3 linked regions of the Cricetulus griseus genome follow. Each later gene encodes a partner of the first gene's protein in a complex. Links are inferred from orthologs where the notes say so. Each region holds a gene or a part of one and is shown on either strand. Other genes may lie near its edges. The genes, in order: Wdr5, Cxxc1 and Tada2a.

What was found.
Region 2: Wdr5 (region 1) and Cxxc1 share a complex: the UniProt entries of both Homo sapiens proteins name them as parts of the SET1 complex. The link is inferred for Cricetulus griseus from reciprocal best matches to the Homo sapiens genes WDR5 and CXXC1.
Region 3: Wdr5 (region 1) and Tada2a share a complex: the UniProt entries of both Homo sapiens proteins name them as parts of the ADA2A-containing complex. The link is inferred for Cricetulus griseus from reciprocal best matches to the Homo sapiens genes WDR5 and TADA2A.

What each region holds. Positions count from the first base shown.
Region 1 is NC_048599.1:139,187,602-139,197,747, reverse strand, and holds the start of Wdr5 (WD repeat-containing protein 5), read right to left. Parts: upstream 5,776-10,146; 5' UTR 5,625-5,775; intron 2,240-5,624; 5' UTR 2,152-2,239; coding exon 2,071-2,151; intron 1,473-2,070; coding exon 1,364-1,472; intron 1,100-1,363; coding exon 1,026-1,099; intron 534-1,025; coding exon 444-533; intron 282-443; coding exon 192-281; intron 29-191; coding exon 1-28.
Region 2 is NC_048595.1:165,566,758-165,576,356, forward strand, and holds Cxxc1 (CXXC-type zinc finger protein 1), read right to left. Parts: upstream 9,469-9,599; 5' UTR 9,128-9,468; coding exon 9,125-9,127; intron 8,454-9,124; coding exon 8,335-8,453; intron 8,235-8,334; coding exon 8,134-8,234; intron 7,810-8,133; coding exon 7,574-7,809; intron 7,486-7,573; coding exon 7,300-7,485; intron 6,936-7,299; coding exon 6,909-6,935; intron 6,832-6,908; coding exon 6,586-6,831; intron 6,428-6,585; coding exon 6,320-6,427; intron 6,153-6,319; coding exon 5,968-6,152; intron 5,696-5,967; coding exon 5,488-5,695; intron 5,407-5,487; coding exon 5,296-5,406; intron 5,168-5,295; coding exon 5,118-5,167; intron 4,965-5,117; coding exon 4,868-4,964; intron 4,669-4,867; coding exon 4,516-4,668; intron 4,434-4,515; coding exon 4,287-4,433; 3' UTR 3,987-4,286; downstream 1-3,986. UniProt on the Homo sapiens protein: Transcriptional activator that exhibits a unique DNA binding specificity for CpG unmethylated motifs with a preference for CpGG.
Region 3 is NC_048600.1:97,381,936-97,392,152, forward strand, and holds the start of Tada2a (transcriptional adapter 2-alpha), read right to left. Parts: upstream 6,422-10,217; 5' UTR 6,277-6,421; intron 4,244-6,276; 5' UTR 4,153-4,243; coding exon 4,128-4,152; intron 1-4,127. UniProt on the Homo sapiens protein: Component of the ATAC complex, a complex with histone acetyltransferase activity on histones H3 and H4. Required for the function of some acidic activation domains, which activate transcription from a distant site. Binds double-stranded DNA.

The sequences.
Region 1 (10,146 bases):
CGTCCCATATCCTCACACTTTCATCAAACTAAAGATGAGACAGGTCGTTAAAGTAACTACAGGAACAGAGGAGCGGCAACAGTGTGGTCCCTTAAGACCCAAGCCCTGTCCCCACCCTGCCTAACCCCACATCAAACACCAATATGTGACACCACACACATCGTCCCCGGAGGAGCGACCCACTCACTTACAGACCCTGAGACGATGAGGTTGGACTGGGGGTTGAAGTTGCAGCAGAAGACATAGTTACTGTGGCCCTTCAGGGTCTTCAGACACTTTCCCTAGGGCATAGCACACCAAGCTCTGTGATTCTCAGGGGCTATATTCCCCAGATAAAAACCCTGGACTACCCAGCACATGTGAAGACCTCCCCAAGACCAGCCATCCACACATCCAACTCATCTCAACTACAGGTACTCCCTGGGAAGATCATTGTCACTTACAGAACTCACGTCCCATATCTTCAAAGTTTTGTCATCAGAGGCAGACACAAGGAGGTTGGAATCTGATGACCAGGCTACATCAGATATTCCCTTGGGAAAGAAAAAACAGCTGGTTACCACTTTGGGGATCAAAACCCAAAAGACCAGTAAAAGACCAGCACTACCTATCTATGCACCACGACTTCAGGAAATCTTCTGGCCAGTGTTAGCACAAGACATCTGGCCCAGAGCAAAAGGCTACTACCCTCAGCTCCGCTAGGTTTCCTAGACTCAGTCACCTATGGAGGCTTAAAATCCTTGCACCAAAAACATAAGGCAGCCACGTGTGGTGGTGCAAACCTGATTCTGAGGCAGGATGATTGCCAGCCTGAACTATATAGTAAGACCCTGCGACCACCAGCATTAAAGACAGGCCTGACAAGCCAGGAGGTGGTGGTACAGACCTGTAATTCAAGCACCCAGGAGGCCAAGACAGACAGATCTCCAAGTTCAAGGTCAGCCTAGTCTACAGAGTAAGCTCCAGGACAGACAGGGCAACCAACCATCTGGCTCAACAGCCAGTGCACCTCACAGGAAACCTACCAGCTTGTGACCAGATATGGTTTTCTCAAACTTTCCATCATATGCTCCCCATATTTTAATGAGTTTATCAGCAGCTGAAAGAAAAGGAGTTGGAGTTAGAAGAGGTTGTAGCTATTCCCCTAAATAACAGGGCCTAGGTCACTCAGTGAAGTAAATGTAGACACAGGTAGCCACTCCACCCCACGCCCACCCACCACTTCATACAAACAGGCAATTGCATGCTGAATGCTAACAAACCTATGGGAGCAGTAAGAAGTAGCAGTCAATGCCCACACCACCAACCACCTTTCCTCAGCTGAAGCTCAGGCTTTCTAGCCAAAGAACTGAAGGATACTCACATGAACTTGCCAGCCACTCCCCATTGGGGCTGAACTTCACGGAGGACACAGCTTTCGTGTGGCCAGCCAGGGTGAACTTCAGAGCATAGTTTGGCTTAACAGGTGTAGGCTGTGGGAGACAGTACCAATTAGCCAGAGGCTACTACCACTACCCAATCAACTCACTTGATGCCCAAATTTTAATTATTAGCTGGTTCCAAAACTCATACACAAGCACTTACTACCACCTTATCTGACGTCACACTTCAAACTGTCAGTGTAACCCTATCACTCTCTTCAAAGCCCCTTCTTCCTCTGGAGTCCCTACCTCAGCACACCAACAATTTGTAATTTTTTTTAGCCAACTAGAGTGGTACATATCTTTAAATTAATCCCAGCACATGAAGGGGAGAGGGAGGAGGCAGAGGCAGACATATCTATATGAGTTCAAGACTAGCCTGATCTGCATGTTGTGTTCTTTACCAGCCAGGACTATAGGAAGACTCTACCTCAAAACAATCTGTACTTTTTGTTAAACTCCACCCCCACTGTCTTAGGTCTGGGAATCTCTGACAGCACCTAGCATTTGGCTCTGTGTGACCACTGCCAGGTGGCCAGAAACTCACACTGCCAGCATACCTCACTGGGCAGAGCAGCCTGCACTAATAAAATAACATCCCCAAGAATCTCTCCAGCCTGTCTGCCACAGCGGTCCCTGTGGGACATACCTTGCTCTGTGTGGCTGATGAGGAAGGGGTAGGCTGTGCTCTTGCAGCCTCTGTCTCTGGCTTCTTCTCCTCCGTGGCCATGGCTCTGATGCCCACCGGGCAGGACACCGTGAAGGGGGAGTCACAGTGGAAGAGGCTGTCAGCTAAAGCGTACGCTACAGTATAGGGCCTATAAACAAATCCTCTCTTTAAAAAAGGTTACTGGGAGGGGACTGAATGCTGTTCCAGAGGACCCGACTTTGATTTCCACTTGTAAAACATCTTTAAGTCCAGTTCAGAGGATCTGACGCCCTCTTCTGGCCTCTGTAGGGACTACATACATGTGGTACGCAGACATACAAGCAAGCAAGACAAAACAAAAACACACATAAGATAAATTTGGCCAGGTATAGTGGCACACGTCTATTTCAGCATTTGGGAGGCAGAAGTAAGTGGATCTCCGAGTTTGAGATGGTCTACAGAGTTCTAAGACAAACAGGGCTACACAGAGAAACCCTGTCTCAAAACAACAAAAGGTTGTTGGGGATAAGTATAATAACTCAACCAGAGAGCATTCACCTAACATGCATAAGACCACCATCTACCCACCCACCCACCCTGCCAAGTATAAAAGCAATCATTCTCAGGAAAAAGGGAAAAACATGACCACTATATTGAACCCTGCAGCTAATAAACTGTTCCAAGCTAGGCATCCTTTAACTGTCACCCTGTCCCAGGGCTGAAGCTTCGAATGTTCTGTGTGATGACCCGCTCTTGACCTCTTTGTGAGCTTAAGAAAAACTTGACCCTCAAGGCAGCTTCCCATTGCAGTACTAGATGTGTACAGGCATGTGAGCTTTGCTTCAAAGAGCCTTGGGCACAGTTTTTAATTAAAAAGGCTTTCTGGCCGGGCATTGGTGGCGCACGCCTTTAATCCCAGCACTCGGGAGGCAGAGGCAGGCGGATCTCTGTGAGTTCAAGACCAGCCTGGTCTCCAGAGAGAGTTCCAGGATAGCCTCCAAAACCACAGAGAAACCCTGTCTCGAAAAACCAAAGAAAGAAAAAAAAAAAAAAAAGGCTTTCTGACAGAAACTGACAGGCCAAGTGACAGGAGGTAGACCTTCTGTGCAGAAGTTTGGGAGCTTACCCTAAAATGCACCCAAGGAATTTGATCATGAAAACACAGGCATTATGAACCCAGTGGCCACCACCTCACCAGCTGCTCCCTATGATCTCACAGGCTGCAGGTACAAAGCTGCCTTCTAGAATAAGCTCACAGAGCTCAAGGACTCAGTGCCCACAGTACTACAAAAGAGCTACAAGAGTAAACCAGAGTGGTCGCTGCCTCCACAGGTTTCCTCAGGAGGAGCAGCGAGAACAGCAGTGAACTGCAAACTAGATACATGCTACTGTGCAGAGGAAAGTAGTTATTCTGGTCAGCACTCAGCCTGAAATGTGTACACCTGCAACAGTTAATTCCATTGCAGCAATAGGTCCATCACCTGGATGCACCACACAAAAGCGCACCATGTGACTTGGAAATGAAGTAGTAGTCCTCAAAGGAGAACTACTAAGGCATACTTGCAAATGTCAGTCACTGGTCATGGATTTCTCGGCCATCAATATAAGAATGATGATGTAAATTCTAGCTTTGAGGTTAAACCTGAAACCTCACACAGACCCCATGTAAAGACTAAGGCAAATGAAGGACACACACAAAACATGTCTCAAAGTCTTCAGTCCTAGAGGAGTAACAGTTACAATGCCCACCACAAAGGGCACAGGTGCAGCCCAGCTGTTTTACCTGCAGCCCGTTCCATCACGGTCATAGCTTGCTGTAGCTCAAGCCCAGGTGCAAGGACTGGAGGAGGATAGATCCCCTAGGTTCTCCAGGGAACAAAGCTCTGGTGCCCAGGAAATGTCAGCTGTTTGGTGTTTTTAGCTTTTTGGAAGCAGGGTCTAGCTATGTACCTGGTATTCAAAAGCCTCCTGTTTCAGCTTCTGGGTACAGTTGATGTAACAGGCATATATCAATCACCAGGCCTGACCAGGAGCTTATTCTTTTTTTTTTTTTTTCCCCGAGACAGGGTTTCTCTGTGTAGCTTTGAAGCCTGTCCTGGAATTAGCTCTTGTAGACCAGACTGGTATCAAACTCAGAGTTCCGCCTGCCTCTGTCTCCTGAGTACTGGGATTAAAGGCATGTGCTACCAACGCCAGGAGCTTATTCTCAATGAAAATTTGGCCATATCATGGATTCTCACAGCTACCACTTCTGCTGACCATACAGGTAGCAGGAGGAGCTGAGGATGCTGAAAGTCCCTTTCACAAAGCCCAGCAAATCTCCCCAGTAAAAGGACAGGGCAACAGTGTAGGGGAGGTCTCTTGGGTGGGAAGGTTCTGGGAACTAAACAGCTTCTTTTAGATAAGGAGATTCACCTAGCAGTGGGTGGATGACTTTGCAAACAAGTGTGCACCACCACCCTCCCCACCCCGCAATACCCTGTGGACAGACAGGGTCTTTCTTCAAGATGTCAAATATTAACATATGAAAGCACCACGCTTTAGGCCACATTTGGGAGTCTCTGAGTTCAAGATCAGCCTGATGTACAGAACAAGGTCCAGAACAGCCAGGGCTACACAGAGAAACCCTGTCTTGAGGAAAGAAAAAAAAAAAAAATCCCACCAACTTTAGCCAGTCTTCCTCACAACATTCCGGAGGCTGGAGGCTCAGGAGTTCAAAGCAGTTAAAAAGAGATGCCAGCAACTACATAAGTCTGTCTCAAAAGAAATCACCGATTTCCAATTTCACTGGGCAGAGTCCTAGACAGAGCATCTAGGTGTGCAAGTTTTAAGCCTACGGAAAAGCAGGATTGGGGAGGACAGCTCTGAGAGGAAGGTATGCTAAACAGAATACTCGGAAGGTGGCTTGGGCTTTATACTACAGTGAGCCTGGCCATGGAAGGGCAGCAGTCACTACTCTCTCTCCAATCGAATGCAGATTCCTGGATGGCACTGAGTGCACAAGTGTAGAAGAGACAGAATGTTTCACTCAGGTGATTGCAGCTGGCCAACCCAACAAAGAGCTACAACCCATTCTCTCTGGGTTCTAGTACCTTGGTCCTAGTAGCCCTGGCTTCACACCACTGTGTGCTGACCCAGACAGTGTTTACAACCCCCTTGACTAGAGTTAGGCCTCGTCAGGTAGAAATTTGCACTGGAACTCAGGTGAAGGTTGTGCTGGCAACTGGCAACATAAGAGAGGCGCCAAGTGGCCAAGGAAACCTGGGAGATACTGGCTGGGTGAAAGACCGTGAATCCCACCCCCAAGGACACCAGCCTGAGGTGTGCTTCGAGGAGCTCGCACGACTAAGGGTCTAGTGGCGCAGTGGGGGTTGTCGTGGGAGGAGTGGGCCATGACGACCACAAGGGGCGGTGGGGTCGGGGCGCGGCCCCAGAGGCGGCGCCGGGCCCGGCCTGAGGCCCATGGAACACGTGCGGCGCTGTGGATCCCGGAGCCCGCTATCCCTCGTGGCCGCCGCCCGCCTCGCGCCCAAAGGGCCGGCTCACTCTCTTACCTGCCGGGGCCGCGGCGGCGGGGCCGGGCGCTCTGGCGTCGCGTCGGCTAGCTCTGCGCGCGAGAGCAGACGAGCTCCTGAACTAGGCGGCAGCGGCGCGGTACGCGGGCGGGAGTGCGCGTGCGCGGGGGGCGGGGCAACGGGCGGCGACGAGGGTCAGAAAAATTAGAGGAGGAGGAGTGCCTTAAAGGGGCCGCCGGCGGCTCTCGCTTCCTGCTTGACAGCTGGGATCCATTGGTTGCAGACCCGTGGTGTCTGCAGTGAAGGATGGGACGGAATGTGCTTTTGTGATTCTCCTGTTGTTCCATGCTGTGTCGCCAAGCTGATAATTACAGCTTGGCCGTCCTGGCCTGTGACTGCGCTGGGGTCTTGGGAACCCTCTCGGTGCCACTGGTGGAGGTCCACGAGGTCCGGAAGTCCGGAGCTCCTGCGGCCTCCCCAGCCTACCGCAGGGCGGGGGCTTCCTGCCGCTACAAGCCACAGCTCAAGTTGGACACATTTGCCTCGCCTCTGAGCTAGGCGACAAGGAGGCTGTGCTACGCAGCCCCATACTCAGAAAAAGGTCTTAGAAACTATCGCCGCAAGGCCGGGCGGTGGTGGCGCACGCCCTTAATGCCAGCACTCGGAGGCAGAGGCATCTGGGATCTCTGTGAGAGCAGCCTGGTCTACAAGAGCTAATTCCAGGACAGGCTTCAAAGCTACACACAAACCCTGTCTCGAAAGAAAAAAAAAAAAAAAAAAAAAAAAAAAGGAAGGAAGGAAGGAAAAAAGAAAGATGAAAGGCAAGTGTCCCTAACACAGGGGCTCTAGGTCCTCTCGCTATGCATGCATCTGGAACCACTGCATCATTCAGTTGCTCCTTAGTTTGGGTGCCCAGAGATCACATTCCAGGCAACCGCAGTATCCACTACAATCCAGCTCCTGTATGGCTCAGAGGCTCATTTTAAAGTCTCTGTTTTCACCGTAATTCTCATTTTCACAAGACAGCTCCAGACAGGCAGGATGCCCGAATTAAGCAAAGTATTCACAGCCCCCTCTCCTGTAGGCCACCTCTACTCCTGTCACTAATGGAGGAAAGACCCAGAGAGGACACAAGGACATAATGACAACCTGAAGACAGGCTGCATCTTCATCTTACTATCTAACACACATGGTCTTAGAATCTTGGAGATGGTGGCGGCCTCTTATCTCCCAGTGTGGGAGTATCAAATATAGCATAGGAACCTGTGCAAAGGAAGTGAGCCTTTGGAGCTGAGAATGTGTGTGGTTCCCATAGCTATAGGAGTGAGAGAAGACTGGCAACTGGCCCAGAATCCCCTTCCAAAGAGGACACAGAAACAGCCGATGTGATACTGTGTGCCTAACAAACCTGATCCCTATGTTCGGAGCCCTGAATGGAGCAGAGTGTAAGGTGGGAAGAACAGTATCTCCCATATCTGCCTAGCTGCCTGGACTGGAAACCAAACCTAATTCTGAACTTCCTTCTGCTCAGATAACACTCAAATCCTTCCACTTCCATCCTCATCCTGGCTCTACCTAATATGCAGCCTTTTCCAGATTCCAGCCAGAGGAACTGCTAAAATGCAGGTCTGTCTGGGGATGTAGCTCAGTTGGTAGAGTGCATGCAAGAAGCCATGTGTTCAATCCCCAACACCCATAAACCAAGTGTGGTTGCACAAGCACTAGGAGTTAGAGGCAGAGGATCAGAACTTTGAAAGATCATCTTTAGCTACATATTCAATCAAGACCAGCCTGGGAGGCCCGAACGATGACCCAGAGCCCTCAGATTTCCAACTTTCGCTCAGTGGATTTGAATGTCTTCTTCTCAAGGGAAACAGCCTTCTGGTTTAAGTGGGAAACTTCACCATTGTTGTCATAGCACAAACCCTGAAACCAAGTAACACAGCAGGGTAGAGCTGTTGTTGGGGTCAGAGGAAACACTGAAGGAAGACCCCAGACTCAAATAGTAGGTAAGAGCAAAGAGCATTTATTACTATACCAGCATATGTAAGGCTGTTCACCTGCACAAAAATAGCAATGACCCCAAGAAGCGTGTGCAGGCTTCCTTTAAGCACAGTTAGGGGAATTTTAGGGACAGTTAGGTCATCTCAAACATAGTTGGTTAAACAAGCAGCATTACATTAGTACACTTTTTTGTTTTGTTTTCTACAAGACAGGGCTTCTCTGTGTAGCTTTGGAGGCTGTCCTGGAACTAGCTCTTGTAGACCAGACTGGTCTTGAACTCCCAGAGATCCACCCGCCTCTGCCTCCCCAGTGCTGGGATTAAAGATGTGTGCCATCATTACCTGGCTTTATTTATTATTTTTATGTGCTGGTGTATGTACCCGCATGAGTTTATATGCACCACATGTCTACAAGAGCGCAACAGAGGCCAGAAGATACATCCCCTGGAATTGGAGTTGCATGTTGTTTCTAACCTGAAATGTGGGTGCTGGGGATAGAACCAGTTCTTCTACAAGAGCACCAAGTGTTCCTTACTGCTGATCCATCTTAGTCCCCTAGCAATTCTTATAAATACAACATATCTAGAAAGTTCCTCTCCCCTCTCACTTAAAGCTCTCATAACAGCCAAGCAAACTTCCAACAGCCAACATCCATTTGGATTTGCCATCTGGATCCCCAGATAAATGAATACGACAGCACAGCTGCTAGTTCCTTCTGAAATAAGACCTTTTATTGCAGTCCCTGGCTCAGTGTCCCCTGGGCCTGTCTGAGGTGGATCAGAATTCTCACACAACAGTCTTTGCAGTTGGCAAGGGAAAGGAGATGGAGGGGTGACATCTAGTAAACACTGAATAATTGTATCCCCCCTCCTATTTAGATGGATGGGTGAGTGCATGAATGGATGAATATCTAGACAGATGATTATGTGGATGGGTGTATGGTAGACACCTAAATAGAAGGGCAAGTATGTGTCTAGATGGATGGATCAGTGGATGAATGGGAGCCTAGATAGAAGAGAAGATAGATGAGTGGGTATTTGGTAAGTAAATAGACAAATGAATCTATGGGGAATATGTAGAGGTGAGTGAGTGGGTACAGAAGGCACAGGTAGGTTCTTGTAGTCACAGATAAGCACTAAGGAAACTAAGAATGTTGAACATTCAGGGGGGTCTCCTCCATGGAAGAAATAAAATTCCTACTTTCCACCCAGAAAGCTGGGAGTGGATGCTGTTAATGACCTGGTGACCTTTGCTATCTATAGTGCCAGACCCAAATCCCCAAATGTTTACCACAGACTCTCCCTTCCTAGATGTTTATTTTTAGCACTTAGTTACCAGAAGCCACCCTTAGGTGAGATGCCACATGTACTTTATAGCCTGCTGACCTCTATCTCAGTCAGAGACCACACCAGATCCTGGGCCTTTAAGCTAGCACAACTTACCTTAAAGGTCACATGTACTTTGCAAAGGAGTTTCTATGTAGCCATGACTTAAACTCTATTGTGCACCTGGAATTGGAGTGATGGTTGCCTGAAAACTTTTTTTCTCAAATTGTGCTGAATTTAAATATGCTTACATCAAGGCAGTGGTGGCTCACACCTTTAATCCCACCACTTGGGAGGCAGAGGCAGGTGGATCTCTGTGAGTTTGAAGCCAGTCTTTTTTTTTTTTAATAATTCTTTTTTATTTTTATTTATTATGTATACCGTGTTCTGTCTGCATGTCTCCCTGCAGGCCAGAAGAGGGCACCAGATCTCATTATAGATGGTTGTGAGCCACCATGTGGTTGCTGAGAATTGAACTCAAGACCTCTGGAAGAGCAGCAAGTGCTCCTAACCTCTGAACCATCTCTCCAGCGCCCGCCAGTCTTGTCTATTGAGAAAGCCTGTCTTGGAAAACCAAGAACAAACAAACAAATAAATCTGTGTGTTCGAGGCTAGTTCGAGGCTAGCCTGGTCTACAGAGTGAGCTCCAGGACAGGCTCCAAAGCAATGCAGAGAAACCCTGTCTTGAAAAACATAAATAAACAAACAAGCAAACAAACATACTTACAATAAACTGCTGGCATCAGACTCCTAAAGTTTGATCCAGACCAACAAAATTAGGCTGAATCAAGTTTTTAACTCTCAGGGACAAGCGGTTCAATTCCCTGCCTGCCATGACCCTTGCAGGGATCCTTGCAGGTAGGTGGGGAAGAAGTAGGTGGGTGGGTGGGTGGATGGATAAGGGATAAACCGTTTGGCTCTCCAAGAACGAGAGCATCCCAAGTGACCAGGCATAGAGTGGGTGAGTCTAGTTGTGGCATAACTGGAATTAAAACCATCACCTGCTATAGGAAGACTTTAATTTTTAGGGAAACATCATTTTGTTGCCTAGTGAAGACTGTTTCCTTAGCAACAGTGGGACCACCCAACCCAGAGAGGATGTGCTGTGCAGGTTAAGGAGTGGCTCAGTGGTGAGAATGCTGTGCCCCGCAACAGGGGCAGAGGAACCTCTGGCCCTTTAACTGAGTTCAGAGCTTTGAGGTAGGGTAGATTCCGATGGATGGCAGTTGAAGA
Region 2 (9,599 bases), on another chromosome or scaffold:
TTTAAGGGCCAATAATAGTTCGACACATTAGCAGTAGCTTGGCAGAGGCAGTTTTGCTGAGTCACTCCTATGCAGAAGTGATAGGCCAAAGACAGATTACCCAACTCTAGCCAGGCTCAGGAAGTTCTACTAAGCCTTGCATATGGGCCTTTTTAGGCCCAACAGCCATGAGGCAGAAAGTAAATTAATAGAAATTTTTTTAAATTTAAGTCATAAGAGCTAATTAGAAGCAAGCTTAAGCTATCAGCTTAGCTTTGGTAATTAATAACAAATCTCCATGTCATTGAAGGGACCAGCTCCCCTTTCGGCAGCCATAACAGCCGAACACGTTCTTGCCATAACCTTGCCTTGGTCACTAGGAGGTCAGATGCCTGCCTTGTGACAAGGAACCAATCAGAAGTTAGCTGGTGGCGCTATGCTTTACCACCCTGGGTGTGGTTTACGGACAAGCGCACAGCAATGACACACAAAGCATAGCAACAACCCTGGGAGGGCCTATGGGCCATAACAACCAGTTGGCCAATCAACACAGGGCAAGCCCTCTAAGGCTGGAGGCACACCAATAGTGAGCCTGTGCGTACCCCTAGACACTCCCCTTACACTGCCCTATAAGATCTCTTGGGAGGTCCTAGGAGCTGTCTTTTGCTAGCCATCCGCCATGGTGGGTGGGTGAAAGACCCAAGCTAACATGGGGTTAGCTCGTTAAATTACAATAAAGCCTCATGCAGTTTGCATCAAGCTCTCGAGTCCACCTGGTGATTGGGATGACAGTGAATGTGGCCTGGGACCCCGGATACCTGAGTTTTCCAGGGGGTCTAACATCATCATTGGGGAGCCAATGATCCTGACAAAGAAGTCCAACTATAAATGGCACCCCACATTGAGTGTCATATGTAGGTGGATTTTTCTTTGGGCTGCCAGCTCACAAAAAAATGACAAGACTTACTATTGATTATGAAAGCTCTGCATATAGCTTAGGTTTGTCCTACTAGCTCTTATAACTTAAGTTAATCCATTTCTATTCATCTATATGACTCATGGCTTTTACCATTCCTCCTGCATGCCTTGTTCTCCCTGCATCTAGCTCACAACTCCTCCTTTCTTCTTCCTAGAGCTCTATCTGTCTGGAAGTCCTGCCTATACCTCCTGCCTAGTTATTGGCCATTTGTCTTTTTATTAAACCAATCACAATGGCACATCTTCACACAGTATGAAGTAATATTCCATAACATCTGTGGATTTGATCAAGGTTGATAGAGATCAGATTTGATCAGTGGAGACCCCCTGAAAATGCTGGATACAGATATAAAGAAATAAATCTTAATAACTATAAGACAGGTGATATATATTTTATATGCTCAAACATAAAACAACAACAAAAAAATCACCTTTGGCTGGCTTGTGTTCAATGCAAAGTCCATACTTGTGTTATTACAGATATGAATGTTAACTTTAAAAGTTTTATGTTTTCAGAGTAAGGGGACCAGACACCAATGAAAGTGTGTGGCTCAGGTGGTCCAGCCTCTCAGAGTGCCTCTGTTGCAGTTTCCTCAGAGTTCTGCATCCAAAACAGTTTCAAGGATGTTGGCAGAGATGGTCCACTCTCACAGACTATATTCTAGCCAGGACTTCAGATGAACCCTGCATTTTCCCATTACATAAGAGACTGGGCAACAAATGATATACAGCTAGCTCTCCCAGAACTTGACCATTATCCCAATTTTCTCAGGTACCCTAAAGATGCCATCACCCCCCAGATAATGGGAAGCCATCTAGAAAACATGATACCCACATTTCCAAGAGTTGGAGTAGGTGGTTTTGGGTCATTCAGTGGGTTATGGATGTTTGTCATTTTTTTGGGGGGGGGTTCCAAATTGTTATTAGTCGTGGTCAGTAAAATACTGAACAAAGGAAATTAGTTTCAGGGATTTCTTTCTGAAGGAAAAAAGGGAGATATGATATAGAAATGATGTAATAAAAGGGTAGATTGTTTAGTCTACTTTTGAACAACCACTGGTCTCAAATATCTTACACTGGTATGGATTTTTGTATGTTGATACAAATTTATTGTTACTTTTGTTATACTGTATTATATGTTCCTATTTCTTAAGATATTGTACCTATGCAGCTCACTTAAAAATGTAATGTAAAGTTTCAGTCTTTGAAAACTATTTAGGTTAATAAAGAAAAACAGATTAGTTATTAAGGTCATTGCTCTTCTCTTCCAGGGGTCTCCAAGTTTTATTAGCATTTGCTGCATTGGTTGTAGCATCCATCTAGGTACGACAAGTATGTTGTTGTCTTAGTTAGGGTTTCTGTTGCTGTTACAGAACATTATGCCCAAAAAGCAAGTTGGGGAGGAAAGAGCTTATTTGGCTTATACTTCCTGTTCATATTGAAGGAAGTCAGAACACAGACTCATGCAGGGCAGGAACTTGGAGGCAGGAACTGATACAGAGGTCATTGAGGGATGTTATTTACTGCATCACCTCACATGTGGATCTAGGCACAAAGATATCAATTGTTACAAATACAAGTCTACCTGTCCTATCACTACCCTGAAGTTAACCTTAGGAGATATAATAGATAATCTTTCATGCTTGGCAACATCTAACTATAGTTTCCAAAAATCTCCCTTCTCAGAACCCTGCAGTATCAAAAGCCTACTTGGCACTGCAGGGAACCTGGTTAACCTGTATTTACAAAAATGGATGGCCTCTGACAGACTACAAGAGTCCTACCTTTTGTGTTTGCCTGACAGACTACAGGAGCTTTACCTTGTGTGTTACCATCCATTGTTTCTCAAGTTATATGCTTACAATGGCCCCAAGAATGCTCAGCACATTTTCTCCTGGCTTCCTGTTGATCTTTATCCGAGTAAGACTTAGACCAGCTGAAAAAGCAGCCCTAATGATTACCTTGGTAAGAGGTGAAATTGGAATATCCTAGATGACCCATAAATCCACGATATAGGATAGGGGATATAGGACAACTACAGACTTCCATTGAAATGCTTCTCAATCAGGTTGAAATCTTTGGCTGAGTTAGTTTTACTGAGTTGGAGAGGGAGAGATTTATTGTTCATGTGTTGGAGAGATCTTTGTGTATCCTTAGGAAAAGCTAGCTATTTATATGCATCATTCCTTAAAAAAATACACCCTACAAAGTGGTCAAAAAAAATCTAAACATCTGATGAGGGAAATCCTTCTCTATATACGTTTCTCTTATTGGTTAATGAATAAAACACTGGTGGCTGATTGGCCAGGCAGGAAGTGACATAGCTGGGCAGAATCATAATATAAGCCGGGACAAACAGGAAATCACTCCGTTCTCTTCGGACATGCCACCGGAAGATAATGAGTCAATGCTTTGACTCTGCTAAGACCAGCAGAGAATAAACTAACCAAGGGAATCCCTTTTTGCTTTAGCTGACACCATTTTGTGTGCTTCACGCAACCACCCTTCATCCTGGCTAACTACACAATGCTTAGAACATTCTAGTCTAGCCATACTTGTAGTTTTAGGAAGTCCATTATTTTAATCCACTAGAGCATTTGAAACCTTTTTTTTTTTTTTTTTTCCAGACAGGGTTTCTCTGTGGCTTTGGAGGCTGTCCTGGAACTATCTCTTGTAGACCAGGCTGGTCTCAAACTCACAGAGATCCGCCTGCCTCTGCCTCCCAAGTGCTGGGATTAAAGGTGTGCGCCACCAATGCCCAGCTGCATTTGAAATCTTTTAACAGAAACTATTGAAACTTCTGACACCTGGCCTGTCCCTGGTATAATATAACTGTGGATGGGGCTTCATACAGATCACTGAAATTTCCTCAAATAGGTCACACTGTCACAGCCTAAGGGAGCACAAGATGAGTCCGCTGGCTATCCCAGCCTGCACATTTACCACAGTCCCTCCCAAGACAGATATGCCACCTCTACCTTGCCTGGGACCACAACTGAAAATAGAAGAATGGAGACTATCAAGAGATCTCCTGTTGGTTGTTCAAAATTTTTAATAACAAAACCCGTTTATTTAGGGGATGGGTATAGGCAAAGGTGAGTAAACGCCACAGTCTCACCCCAGCACTGAATATGGAAAAGGACAGATAGTGAAAAAGGGAAATCAGAGTCCCATTAATAAGGGCAAATGTAAGCCAGAACATAGATGGACACAGGGATAAAACTAAGGAGCAGTGGAATAAACAGATGAATGGAGGAACAGAAAGCCGGTGATGCAGGGCCACTCCCCTAACTGGAATGCAGGGGTGAGGGGCTCTGGGCTGGTGAAGCTCAGCGGTCAGCACTAGATCGAAGGTCGGTAGTGAGTGGGTCATGTTGGATCGTTTGGTGCAGCATCAGGGCAAGTAATCCTGCTCGGTTGGTCATGGCTGTGCGAACATTACGTTCCTGCTCAAACAGCTCGTCCAGCTTATACCACTGCCAAGGAAGTGGAAGGAAGCATAAGAACCAGCCCCCGGAGCTCAGGCTGACTGAGGTCACACCCAATATTAAAACCTACCACCCGGACACGCTCTAAGTCCACTTCTGCACGCCGAAGCTTCTCCCAGCAATAATGGCGATTGCACTGGCGCTTAGGCAGACGGCAAAAATCACCTGTGAGTTCAAAGACATCACGTACAAGTGGACACCCACAGACCTCATCAGCGGGCACCTGCAAGGACACCAAGGGCAGAGGTGATGAGGTGAGAGGAGGAATGGAGAATCTGAAGGAGAGTGAAAAGGAAGCAAAAGGAGAGGAACTGGAGATGATCAACAGGAAAGGGAGGAAATGGAAGTTGACAGGAAAAAAAGAGAAGGAAAGGAGGGACACGAGGCAGGGAAGGATGCAGGTAACTGAAGGAAAACCTTACTTTGGGGTCCCGTGAGTGCTCAGGACATAGCACCTGGAGCCGCTTACAGTATGTTTTGCTCTGGGGATTGTAGACGTCACAGAAGAGTCGGGTAGCCCTGTCAGAGATTAACAGGAGAGCAGCCTTGAGTAGCTCCTTGACCACTTCAAAGGCCCACACTCATCTCTAGCACCAATTCCACACATAATCCCATTCCCAATCCCCAGCCTTAACCACCCTTCTCTTAACACTCTAGGGCACCATTACTCACCCTTCAATGCGTGTGGGGTACATGGACCCAAAGGATGTCTGGCTCTCATACTGGAAGGATGAACACAAATAAAAGGACTTTGGGTGCCCTCTCAAGATACCACCCATTCAACAAATCTGTGGGCCTTGCAGGCCACTGATATCCCTACACCATCCACTCTCTCACACTGGCCCCTGACCTTGGCATAGCAACGCTCCATGTGACGCAAGGCAACACGTGGGTTGATGGGATGTCCACAGGAGACACAGAAGATCTGTAGATCTGTGTCGTCACTGTCATTCTCATTGTTCTGTATGGGGGAAAGAACGATGAAACCAGGCAGGACAAGGTACTGGGTCCTGCCCAGCGATGGCTATACAACTCTTTTTACCTCCTCATCCTCACGCACAGCCTGCTGCTTAGCACGAAGAATGATGGCCTCAAGTTCATGGAATCTGCGTTCCATTTCTTGAAGACGGGTTCGGGCACTCTGCTGTTCACGGCGGATGCGTTCCAGGAGCTTCTTGCCATGTTCTTCAGCAATGCAGGGGCTTTGCTGCCACTGCTGGATGCGCTGCGGGAGAATCTCATAGATTCGGCTGCCGGGAGACAGTGAGGTGTGGGCAGAGAAGCACCAAAAGCAGTAAGTGGGGTGATCAAGGGACAGTGAATGGATAGACGATGAACAGGTTCGAGGATGGGTGGCTGAGTGTGTGTGTGGGGGGGGGGGGGGCAGGCGGTAACTGAATGGTGGGTTCATGTGGCCAGATGGGGGTTTGATTGAACAGTACATAGACAACTAGCTGGAGGGAAAGCTCTGGTCATGCCTGCTCTACTTCCTGACTACCTTCAGTGCCCCAGGAAAACTCACTTGGCTGCCAGCTTCATGCCACAGTCATCTGAACAATACTTAGAACCAGGCTGGGCAGCATGCACACAGCCAGGCCCCAGGCACTGCGGTAGTGATGCAGGGTCCTTGGCATCAGCCCTCTCTGGGTGTTTCCATTTGTCTTTATGCTTCTGCTTCTGTCGATGCCGTTTATATCTCTCCTCCTTCTAAGGGGCAAGACAGGTCATGTCAAGGTGCAAGAGAGGTCAGCCTTGGGCCTGATCTGCCTTTCCACTCCAGCTTTTTGGTTCTTCCCCTATTCAGCCCCTGACTTCTCCATCTCCCTCCCTGCCCCATCCTCTTCCTTTTCCACCCATTTTCCCCTCTCCATCACCTTCTTCTCAGACTTCTTCTCTCGACGCTTCACGTGCTTCACTTTTACGGCCCGTTTCCTCATTGCGGGATCCAGGAATGGGGACTCTTCTGCGTCACTCATCCAGGGCTGCAAGAAGGGCATGCACTGACCCACCTGACCAGCTCATGACCACACCACCTACCGTTTCCCAAAGCAGCCTTGGGTGCCCTCTGCCTCCTCTTTCCCATGCTGTGACTTCATCATCTCCTGTTCCTCCCCCACCACAGGATGCTCCTGCTACTCACTAGGCCGTGATCATCAAAGGCTCCGGCACAGAAGTCCTGGTACAGGTCAGGGTCCAATGCCAGGTCCTCATCTGAGAGTGGCTCGGGTGTTGCTGTAGCCTCTGGCAGCTCCTTACCCACAGATGACAACACTGTCCCCTCATCTTCACGGATACGCCCCAGCTTCTGGGATGGCTGTGGCTGCTGTTGAGTGGGTGGTGGCCGGCGGGGCCTTGGCAGGGCCTCTGAGGGCGTCACCGGCGAGAGCTGCGGGGCAGAATCTCAGGACTGGCCCTGACCGCCCTGCCCGCATGCCCTGCCCCGCCCTGGGGGGCTGGACTCACCGAGGAAGGGAAGTACTTGTACGATTCCTGTGCGCAGGAGGAAGGCCTAGGTCAGCCCCAGGAAAATGATGGGTCACCCTGTCCTATCCCCAACTACTCATCCTTGCCTGGTCTACACAAAATGTTTTAGCCCTCCCCTCACCTCAGACATACGCTCAGTCCTACCTGTTGTGCCCTGGCATGCCTGACCACCTAAAAATATATGCCCCTGCCAGCTAGTTATGTCATGTGGCATTCACCTGAACATGCTAGGCCCCCTCCCACTCATCTGGACATAATGAGGCCCCACCCCACCCCACCCACACTTTCTCATTTGTAGCTCAAGCAGCCCTACTTGGGCCTCCCAGCCATGCTCTCCCACCTGAACCTACCCAGCTCTGTCCATGCTTACCCGTGCCCGCAGCTGACACTGGCGAAGCCGGCACTTCTGCCGGATCTTGTTGGGCCCCCCGAACTTCTTCATGTCACGGCAGAAATCACAGTGGCCACAGTCCTCAGTGCGCCGGCATGCCTCACACTCACCACACATTCGGGCTGACCGTTTGATTTGTTGCTGTTGCTGCTGCTGCTGGTGATGCTAGGAGTCAATGCGCAGGATAGACATCAGGAACCCAAATGGGGCCCAGAGCAGAATTTTACCCACCCCAACCACCGCAGTCACTCACCTGGCTAGGTGTAGCCACTAAGGGCTGTGGAGAAGATTTGTGGGGCGAAGCTGAGCCCCGAGCAAGCATGGTCCCAACCCCTGTCCCTGACCCTGCCCGGCGCTGCAGGTCTGGATCTGAAGCAGGCCTCTTGCGCCCTCCTCCCTCATCCCGGGGCTCACTGCCGTCCCGCTCACTGCCATCCCGTTCCCGGGATTTTTTGTGTCGGTAACGAATCTCCAGCTTCGGGTCCTTCTCTATGAGGCAAAGAGTAAGACCAAAGTGGGTTTGTGTGTGTGTGTGTGTGTGTGTGTGTGTGGCGGGTGGGGGGGGGATATGAATGATCCCAAAACCTCTTTCTCTGTTCCCACCCCAACTACTTCTCTGGCTCATGTTATAGGCGAGAGCTGCCCTCTCCCTTTAGGATCCTCCATTATTGCTCACAATGGAGTTGGTATTCCAATACCCCAAGGACCGACAATCACTCTGTCCACAGAGGACACCTCGATTACCCATGAGCCCTCCCATTACGGTTCCTCTTCATCTCTTGGAGCCCACCTGCCTTCCCCACTGGGCCTCACCTCGGCAATCCCGACAGTACCATTCCCGGATGGCTTTGGCCATCTTCTCAGTGATCCTGATGCAGTCCCCATGGAACCACTCATTGCAGTTGTCACATCCACTGCATATAATGGAGCAAGTGGTAGAGACGTGAGGGGTGGGCTTCATCGGTGCTCCCCAACCCCGCCAGGCATCAGCCCACCCACCTCTCCCCAGCTCACATCATGAAGCAGTTGATGTCTGGTTTTCGGCAGATGCAGTAGATGGGAGCATTCTCCCCATTCTCAGACTTGCTGTCCTCTCCAGCATCTGGAGGCTCCAAGTCTGAACCGTCTCCATCCTGTGAGACCCACCCCCAATGATGACTCCTTAATTCCCGCTTACAGCTCGACCACGGCTCAACACAAGTTCCTACTGTGTCTTTGGACTTCCTCCCTCTCATAGATTCCCATCAGCCTCTCCCTCACAGATCGCCCAGACCCTCATCACTCAACCCTGGGCCTCATTACTTTGCTTATACTGCTCTCCCATCACACACATCACTGACAAGCATCCTGTCACTCTTAACTGCTCATCACAAACACTTACCACATTGCCGCCTTCAAGAGTTCTACCCGGATATCTCTTAATTTGTTGGGCTGTCGTCCCATCCCGGCTTCCCACAAGTCTCTATAACTTAGCTCACAGACCCCCAACCCCAATGACGGTTTTTCAGAGCCCCTGTAAATACTCATGGCCAAGACCTTATCTCTCTGACCAAGGATCCTCACGTGAAGGCTTCCCACAAAACTGCCACCTGCAGTCTCTACTTAAGTCCCACTATGGACCCCCTACAACGGTTCATCAAAGAACTCACAGATGGTTCACTTCAAACCCCATCACACACCTTTTCCCATCGGCCCCCAGACTCGGCATCCACCTCACCAGAAGCCCCGTGCGCCTTGCCAACAGGCAGCAGTTGCCAACCCCACCGACCTCTGCCTCGGAACCGCGATCCAACCGGATACTCACCATATCTCCTCTCACAGCGCACCCGCTCTGGACCCCCGGCAGCACCCAGCGAACCTGAACGAGCCCCTAGGCAGCGTCCGCGGCGGTGGCAAAAGCGCCCACAACCACTTCCGCTCCTGGTCCCGCCTCCACGGCACCGCACTCTGAGTCTTCTCGCCCAGAACGACCGCTCAGCAGCAGACAAATAGGTCGCCCAACTACAGCCGCGAATGTCGCCCAGGCGCCGCCATCTTAACCATGGAATCCGTAAGGTAGCGAACACCGTACGTTCCGGGAGATATGGCCGCGCCTATCTGCAGGTCCTCGGAGCGCGCCGCCACCTTATCAGTCAAAGTCCGTACGGTGGCCGCCAGAGGGCAATATGGCCGCGCTTGCTTCGCAACTGCGACGCAGACGTCATCAGCTGTTTACGCCTCATGGGGCAGACTCCGTACGTTTCTAGGCAACGAATGGCAGCTTCCGGTTCACGGCTGTC
Region 3 (10,217 bases), on another chromosome or scaffold:
TGTGTGTGTATGTATGTATGTATGTATGTACATGTGCAAGAGCATATGGAGGGCAGGAGACTTGAGAGTCAGTTCTCTTCTTCCACCATGTAACCAGGGATTGAACTCAAGTCCTCAGGCTTGAGCCATCTTGCTGACCCTTTCCTATTTTAACAGTTCACTGCATCAATTAGCTAACCTCATGGTTCTCTGCCACACCTTAGGAAAACATTTTGAAAATCTAAACAAAAAAAGGTAGGCTTTTGATGCTGTAATGACTAGGATGCACTAATAACATTTTGTAGACAGGAACTGGGATTCTAGGTCTTCTGAAGTACTCAGGATACTCCTTCCTACACAGCTGGGGGAGAGGGGGAAGCAAACCAACAAAAAGCCTTGACTGAAGTCCTTAGCAAGTTTCAATTATCTCATTAAAAATTCAACTAGAAAGCCCAGCAGCAGTGGTGCATGCCTTTAATCCCAGCACTAGGGAGGCAGAGGCAGACAGATCTGTGAGTTCCAGGCCAGCCTGGTCTACAAAGTGAGTTCCAGGACAGGACAGGCAAGGCTACACAGAGAAACCCTGTCCCAAAAACAAAAACAAATCAACTAGATAGAAAACTAAATCTCCCAATTACATGGCCTAGAACCCATTACTATTTCATATGTAAAAAAATATTTATGGTTTTGCTAGTGTTGGGAATCTGACCTGGGACGTTGTACATGCTAGTCAGACAGGCATGCAGCAGCAACCACTGGGCTATAGTCCTAGCCCCAACTAAGATATTTCTGACAGCTGGGTGGGTGGGTGGTGTGGGTGTGGGTGTAGGTGGTGGTGATCCACGCCTTTAATCCCAGCATTCAGGAGACAAGCAGGCAGATCTTTATGAGATCCACACCAGCTAGAGCTACTTAGTGAGACCCTGTCTCAAAGAAAAAATATTGACAGTTTAGACTGAATCCTCTAGTATGACAAGTATACACAAGTCAAGAGGAGGCTGTATTCTGTTTTGCTGAAACTTGACCATGGATTACTAAGACTTGCAGCATTTCTTAGTCACTAACAGCCTGAATCATCCTCAATTTCTCATGGTAAGATGCAGTGATTCAACCTCTGGGTCTCAGCAGTTGAATGCTTAAGTCATCATGTCTCTTTCTGCTTTTATGTCCTGCCCCCATCCTTCCAAACCCATTTTTTTTGAGACAAGGTTTTACTGTAACTCAGGCTGTCCCCTGAACTGGAGACAATCCTGCCCTCAGCACCCAAGTGCTGGGATTACAAACATGTGCCATCACACCTGGGTGTAATCATGCTAGTTTACTATAAATTATATTATTTCATTGCAGACTACTCCTTTTACTATGGAATCATTTTTATTCTTGAAAACATGTATCTACATATTCCATTTTCAATTAATAGACTTGAAAAATAACAAAAAATAACTGGGTTGGGCTGGAGAGATGGCTCAGAGTTTAAGAGCACTGACTGCTCGCTCTTCCAGAGGTCCTGAGTTCAATTCCCAGCAACCACATGGTGGCTCACAACCATCTATTATGAGATCTGGTGCCCTCTTCTGGTGTGCAGATATACACGGAAGCAGAATGTTGTATACATAATAAATAAAACATTTTTTAAAAAGTTTGTTTAAAAAAACTAATAACTGGGTCTAAAAGGTTGAGAACTAATCTTAACAGTGCCCAAATAATGGCCATATATGCACTTATGATATCATCATTTTACTTCTCAGTATGGCCATATATGCACTTATGATATCATCATTTTACTTCTCAGTATCTTTGATATGTACATTTTACATTTCTCCCTCTCCATGTATTTTCTTAAAACTAAAATTATTGAATGCACAAAGGACAGATCTAGGGTTTTGAAGGTTTATTTTATGATTATATTTATTTATCTACTTTGTGTATATTCCAGTGGGCAAGAAGGAATTATGTAACATGAGCATACCTGTGTTACATAACTCACAACCACCTGTAATTCCAGCTGCAGGGGCTGATATTTCTTCTAGACCTCCATGGGTATCTGCACTCATACGTATATTCCAACACACGTAATTAAAAACAATAAAATAAAAAAAAATTCTGAGGAAATAGTTTTAAAATGTGACTAAAGCAAAAAGAAAAAAAAAAACACTCTAAATGGGCTGGAGAGAAGGCTCAGTGGTTCAGAGCCTATCATGTTCTTCTGGAGGACTCAAGTTTGGTTCCCACCAAGCAACCAAACACACTGCACGGCTCACAACAGTTGCAACATCAGTGCCAGGGGATCCTGACACCTTCTGGCCTCCTCAGGCACCTGCACTCACATGTACATATTCCCACACAGATACACATGATTAAAAATTAAATAAATCTTTGGTGCTGGAGAAATGGTTCAGCAGTTAACAGCACTGACTGTTCTTGCAGAGGACCAGGGTTCAATTCCCAGCATCCATATGGCAACTCACAACCATCTGTAACTTCCTTTTTTAGCCTCTGAAGGCATCAGGCACACATGTGGTGCACAGACATACATGCAGGCAAAACATCCATACACATAAAATAAGAAAGAAAATTTATAAACAGGGCTAGAAATATGGCTCAGTGCTTAAGAGAGTTTATTGCTCTTGCAGAAGACTTAGGTTCTGTACCCAGTACCCATACATCTGTAACTCCAGTTCCAGGTGATCCCAAACCCTTTTCTGGTCTTCATGGGTCCTGTAAACACATAGTGCACATAAACTCACAGAAGTGAACACACACACACACACAAACAAACACATCTTTACAAAACAAAAACTATAAAGCTGAAAAAGCAAGTAAACTGGAAGAAAATATTTGCAAATCTAGAGAGAAAAAGTCTGAAATTGTTGTTTTTTTTTTAAATCTTCATTTTTATTTTATGTGTATGGGTGTTTTAGCTGCATGAATGTCTCTGCACCATGTACATGCAGTACCTGTGGAGACCAGAAGGTGTCAGCTCCTCTAGGACTGGAGTTGCAGACAGTTGTGAGCCCTCAGTTGTTGCTGGTGGTCAAACTTAGGACCTCTGGAAGACCAGCCAATAACCTTAACCACTGAACCATCACTCAAGCACCTGAAATTCTTTTCATTTTGTTTTTTGAGGCAGGGTTTCCCTGTGTGTAGCCTTGGAGCTTGCTCTGTGTCATCACAACATGCCTTAACAATTCTGTTTTAAAAGATGGGAGTAAACTGGGTAGTGGTGGCACATGCCTTTAATCCCAGCACTCAGGAGGCAGAGGTAGATGGATCTCTGAGTTTGAGGCCAGCCTGTTCTACAAGAGCTAGTTCCAGGACAGCCTCCAAAGCCACAGAGAAACCATGTCTTGAAGCAAAACAAAACAAAACAAAACAAGATGGGAGTAAACTTGGTAGTGGTACTTTAATCCCAGCCTTTGAGAGACAGAGGCAGGAGGACCTCTCTTGAGTTCCAGGATAGCCAACACTGTTACACAGAGAAACCCTGTCTCAAAAAACCAAAACCAAACCAAACGGTATGGATAGTTTCAGTTTATACTTGGAGCACTGTTGAACTGAAAATGTAGAAGTAGATATGTCCAAAGATTCTTCTTTTCTAAATAAATGTAGAGAAAATGCAGAAGGCCTTTAAGAAAATGCAAAGAAACAAAACCTGAAAAATACATTTCTGGTTCTTACTGGGTTACTAATGATCTACTTTGTGACTGCACTTGTGTGTGTGTCCGTGTATGCACAAGTGTGTGTAACCTAATTTTGTGATTTCTATTTCTTCAAAATCTAATGGTGGCACATGTCTGAATTCTCAGCACTTGGGAAAATAAGTAGGTCAAGGTCTTCCTTAGCTATGAAGCCAGTTCCAGGCCAGCCCAGCTACATGAGGCCCTGGGCTCAAAAATAAAAGTGTTTTAAATACAGATCAATCACACGGTGGCTGGTTCACTCAGCCTGGTTTTATTCTAAGACTTGAGGTGATAGATACATTTGTGTTATCTTCAGTAGGCAACCAAAAGGTACTGGCTGATTTTACTTTTACATGACATTAATTCTTTCAGGCATTATCAATCAACTTCAAAGGCGTTGCTTCCATGATCAACTTCTACTTTAGTTTGCTATTCATCTTCACTTGAGACTTGCTCCATGGTACTTACTGCTAAAGGAACCCAAACGGTCCATTCTCTAACTGACAGTGAGGGCTGTTATTCCTGATCTTCCTTGATAGGGAGCTTCTTCAAGACTTCAGAAGTGGCCAAAAATTAACGATCCCCTAAGAACAAACAGAAGAGCCACATGGATCAGAAAACCATTCAAAGTAGGACAGTGGTGGTCCTTTAATCCAAGCACTCGGGAAGCAGAGGCAGGTGGATATCTGTGAGTTCCAGGCCAACCTGGTCTACAGAGCTAGTTCCAGGACAGCTAGGGCTATTACACAAAGAAACCCTGTGTCGAAAAACCAAAGGAAAGAAAAGCATTCAAAGGTCTATTACAAGTAGCACCTTCAACCCTGTCATGCCAGGAGTTTATGATGCTGGGGGACCTGCTCTTCCTCTACATACCTGACTGTCCTTTGTATAAAAGGGGTCTGATGCAACAAGCTCAACCTCAAAGTTGTGAGCATTAAATGTATACTCAGCTATCTATATAGCGTAGCCTTGCTTTTGAAGCAGACTCACTATGGTAGTCCAGGCTGGCATCCAACTAGGGAGCCTGCCTTAGCTCCCCAGGTCAGGGGTCAAAGGTATGTTCCACCACAACCAGCAAATGCTGTGAATTTCTTCTTCTTCTTTTTTTTTTTGCTTTGGAGCCTATGGTGGCACTCGCTCTGGAGACCAGGCTGGCCTCACAGAGATCCACCTGCCTCTGCCTCCCAAGTGCTGGGATTAAAGGCGTGGGCCACCAACGCTCGGCTTATGAATTTCTAATAAACAATTCTTTGCTTTCTCTGCCAAGTATCCATTCCCTTAGGCTGGATTTACTTTGGTGAACTGACGGCAAATGGTGGGGTAGCCAAATCACAACACTCAGACCTCCATGTTCACAGAATTTAAAGTACATCCTTCTTACAAACTCTGCAACTTGCTGGTGTGGTGGTATATAAAAATCCCAGTAGGCAGAAGGCAACAGGTCTCTGTGAGTTCAAGACCAGCCTAGTCTACATAGTGGGATTCTGGGATGGCCATCATTACATAGTGAGACCCTGTCTCAAAAAATAAATTTTAACCTGAGTTTTATTACTGGAGACCATGAAATTCTACCCAAATCAGGTAATGGTGGTGCATTCACTTAATCCCGGGACTTGGGAGGCAGAGGCAGGCAGATCTCTTGAGTTCCAGTCCAGCCTGGTCTACAAAGAGAGATCCAGGACAGCCAGGGATGTTACACAGAGAAACCCTGTCTCGAAAAAAACCAACAAGAAACAACAAATTTGAGGCAGGTTTCCTCTGTGTAGCTCTGGCTGTCCTGTCTAGACGAGGCTGGCCATGAACTCAAAGGTCCGATTGCCTCTTCCTCCCGAGTACTGGGATTAAAGGCGTGCTCCACAACCACCCAGAAAAAAAAATGAATTTAACAAAGGAATAGTATACATCCAGGAATAAAACAGCAAGCCAACATCCATATGGCTGGAAATAAATGGTATCACTGTATGTGGAATAAATCTTGGAATCCTAACAATCTCCTGGAACAGGCCATTTTTTCCAAGGAAAGGAAGCGCTTTCTGGGGCATTGGCACCACGTTTACAGGCTGGTGAACAGCGGGGCCCTATCAATAGAAGCTTACACTGTAAAGGATGCTAGAATACTCTCTGGCAAACACTCCACGTCACAAAGCACAATGCTGCGGAAAGCAAAAATCTTTCTTCTCCTTTCTTAAAAAGCCCACGCAGTGATACTAACATCCTTGAGAATCGGGCTACATTCAGATTAATTACTAGAGGAAGGAAGGAAGGGACCGAGGGGCAGGCTCCCGGAGTTGCGGGCTTGGCGGTTGTGCAGACAGCATCCTTACAGCCGTATGGCCTTGGGCAAGTCATTGTACTAGCGCCTCGGCTCGCAGACGCTGCTCAACACTGGCTCGCCGAGACCCACGTGGGGTTCGGCGGATCAGGTGGGCCGGGGCCGCGCTCCACCGCGCAGCCGGGGACACTGAGGTGCCGCACCGCCAGCCGCTCAGGAGCGGGAGGGGGGAGGGGCTGGGGACCGGCGGGCCGCACCCGCCTCGCCCGCCGCGTGGCCCCGCCGCGGCAGCCCGCACCTCGTGACCCCGCGTGCCCTCGCTCCGCCGCCCGGCCCGCTCCTCACCTCGCCAGGTCTAGCGCCTCGGCGCCCAAGAGCCTCCCGCTGCGCGCGCCGTCCAAGTTCTCCACGTGCGCGCCCCGGCCTGCGTGCGCGGCCCCGAATCACGTGCGCGGCCCCGGACCACGCCGTTGCGAGCACGCCGCGTCTGTCCCGCCTCCACCCCGGCCACGGGCGGGCGGGTCCCGGTGGCGCTGCCCCGGGATGGGGCGAATGATGCTTTCCCGCTCGCCAGCAGGCCCTGGAGTCTGATCTGCTGTCACTTTTCCTGTCGCCACAGGAGTCCCGGTGCGGTGCTCTAAGGTGGTCCCGCCTGGTTCAATCTGGATTTTCTCATAACAATCCCACTCCAGTCCTGTTGCAAGCGAGGAAACTCAGGCTGCCCAGGCGCTGGGCCTGACGAACGCAAGCCACTCATGGATTACTCAAACTGAATGCCTTGAGGGGTGAAGAGGGTACTTTTCATTCTGATGCTTCTGGGACGTCGAAATTGCCTTCTCTGGAAAGACCCAGCCCCTCCCTGAGCTTCAGATGCTCACATGGAAGTGCAGTGATGATGTGGTGGTCCACTCTGATGTCAATCTTGAGGGCTAGGTATGTCCCAACATCTCTTATTACGACTAGTAGAGATTGTTATAAGAGCTTCCATTTGTGGAATCCTTCCTTTCTGTATGCCAGGCATTGTACAAAACATTACACCAACAACTTTCTGAGGGATGCACTGTTCCTGTTCCCATGGTCCAGCTGAGGAAATCTAGGCACTGGAATATATAACTTAGGATCACATTGCTACCAAGTGCTGGGGAAGGGATTCCAACCATGGTTGGTCTGAACTATTATGCTGTATATCTATTTAAAACTCTGTCTTACAGATTTACCCAACTTCTGTTAGAATTCAGTTATACACTGCCTGTGTGGCATCTTTATTCTTTTTTTTTTTTTTTTGGTACAAAAGTAATATAAGTCCATTGTTAAACAAAAATCTCAGCTGGGTGTAGTTAGTAGCATACATCTGTGATCACTACACTCAGGAGACTGCAGGACAATTACCATATGTTTGAGTTCAGTCTAGGCTACAGAGTGAAAGATCTGTCTTAAAAAAAAGAAAAGATTAAAATTCACATGTGAAAATCACCCCACCATGCTAAATAAACAGTTAATGTTTTTATGTATTTCCTTCCATGCACTTTCCTATTTATTGTATCAATATTATATGGCACTTTACATTTTCTGAGTCCTCAGATCTATTCATTCATTTGGCAAATACACAATGAACAGTTCACTGTTCTAGGTGCTGAGAATTTGGTAGTGAGCAAAACATATTCTCTTGCTCATAAGGCTCATGAATTACATATGATAAAAGATGAATATATTATATATAAATAGTAAGTATTAAAAGATGCCTCATAATGTGGTTTTATAGAAAATTAATTGGAATCAAGAGATAACAGTGATACAGAGATTTTCTTTTAGTCTGGATGGGGAAGAAAGGCCTCTTAGCAGACACAGCACACAAGCAGAAATCTGATATTTAATGAGAAATGGAAGCTAAGTAGATTTCTATAAAGAACCATAGATGAGAGAGAGCAAGTACAGTGTCCCTGGTACATGGAAAAGAAGCAGGGAGGCCAGAATGGCTGGAACAGAGCTGATTAAAGAAATATAACCAGGACCCAGATCATGTATATTTGGTAAACTTTAGTTGGATTGCAATGGGATGGGTTAGAATTCCATAAAGGGTTGAGATCAATATTCTGTTATTTTTTGTTATTTGGTTTTGGTTTTGGTTTTTCAAGACAGGCACTGTCTTGAAAACATAATCTCTGTATCTTTGGAGCCTGTCCTGGAACTTGCTGGCAGGCCAGGCTAGCTGGCCTGGAACTCACAGAGATCCACCTGTCTCTGCCTCCCGAGTGCTGGAATTAAAGGTGTGCACCCCTATTGCCTGACAAGATCAATGTTCTCAAGAAAAGCATAGTGGCTCATGCCTGTACTCCCAGCACACAGGAGGCCAACCTGGACAACACATAAAATTCCAGTCCAATCTGGTGTGTAAGATCCTGACTCAAAAAAAAAAAAAATGGATAATTAAATTGGCCAGGGGGGGATGAAAATTAAATTATAAACTAAAATGTATCCAAGAGGATACAACAAAATATAATGTCATATATGTGTGAAAATGACATAATGAAACCAATTATGAATAGGCTAGCTTAGAAATTATTGCAGTAAGAATTAAAATGTTCAGGGGCTGGTGGGATGACTCAGTCTGTGAAGTCTTTGAATTTGAACTTCAGTACCCATATAAACCCCTAGATGAGGTGATGTGTGCCTGTAGCCCCAGCACCTACCTGGAAAGGAGACAGGAGGATCCCCTAGGGGCATGTCGGTTAGACAGTCTGACTAAATCAAGGAACTTCAGGTTCATTGAGTGATACTCTCGAAAAATAGAATGAAGAGGCTGAGGAGATGGCCGAGTCAATGAAGTACCTGCAGCACAAACTTAGGAAGCTGAGTTCAGATTGCCAGCACCAGTTCTCCATCCACTAGTAACCCCAGCACTGGGTAGAGTTGAGACAGGCACACTCCTGGAGCTCATTGGCCAGCCAGCCTAGCCTAATAGATGAGTTTCAAAAAATAAGAAAGACACCCAACATCAACTTCTGGTCTTCATATATAGAGGCACATATGGGCAGATAAAACACACACACACACACACACACACACACACACACACACACACTCTCTCTCTCTCTCTCTCTCTCTCTCTCTCTCTCTCTCCAAAATATAAAAAATAAAATGTCCAGTGAAAGGAAGGGTAACACTGATGGAAGCAGCACTTTCCTTGGTTTCTTCCTCAAACAGTGTAGTATTAGTGGCATTGCAAGACCATCAGAAGAAGGGAGAGTCTAATTGAAGGAAGACGGACTTGGAGGAGAAAGTAAGTTTTGTTTGGCATCTATGTTTTGCATACTAACTAGAAATGACAATAGGAGTCTACGCTTAGTGGAGAGTTCAGTACTCATTGTGTAACGAATAGAATTGTTTCTTTGTTTGTGCTTTCCTCAGCTTGAGAACAGACTGTCTTTTCTCTTTGTAACCTCTGCGCCCAGAAAGGTAGGGCCAGCAGATAATTGGTGAAATGAATAGAGACAAAGGTATGGCCAGATATAGTGGCATACACCTTGAATCCGGGCACTCAGGAGTCAAGTGATAGGAGGGTTGCTGCAAGTTGAGGCCAGATTGGTCAATATCTCATCGTCTAAGCCAGTCAAGGGTTACATAAGGAGTTCCTGTCTCAAAACAAAAACAAAAAACAAGGCAAAAGGTACAGATAGTTACTCAGATAAAATGTGTGAGATTTAAAAAGAAGACCTGGGATTGGAGAGATGGCTTAGTGACTAAGAGGACTGTGTGTTTTTACAGAGGACCTAGGGCTCACACGGTAGCTCACAACCACCTGTATCTCCAGTTTTTAGGGATCCAATACCTTTGACCTCCATGGGCACGGAGCATGCAAGGGATACACATACATGCAGGCAGAACACTTACACACATAAAATAAATCTAAAAAATGTTTCAAAAATAAAATAAAAAAGCTGGGCGTTGGTGGCGCACATCTTTAATCCCAGCACTCAGGAGGCAGAGGCAGGCGGATCTCTGTGAGTTCGAGGCCAGCCTGGTCTCCAGAGCGAGTGCCAGGATAGGCTCCAAAGCTACACAGAGAAACCCTGTCTCAAAAAACCAAAAATAAATAAATAAATAAAATAAAAAAGAAATGGACTCTCTACTTTTACTGGATGTCCAAGCAGCTGAACATGACTTACAAGTAGAGTGACCATAATTCCTGAATTGATCAGGCGGTTCCTGGTTTATTCCTGTTGTTGTTACTTAATTATTAATATTGCCTTGATTCACTAAGATGTACCTTGCTTTGTACAATACAT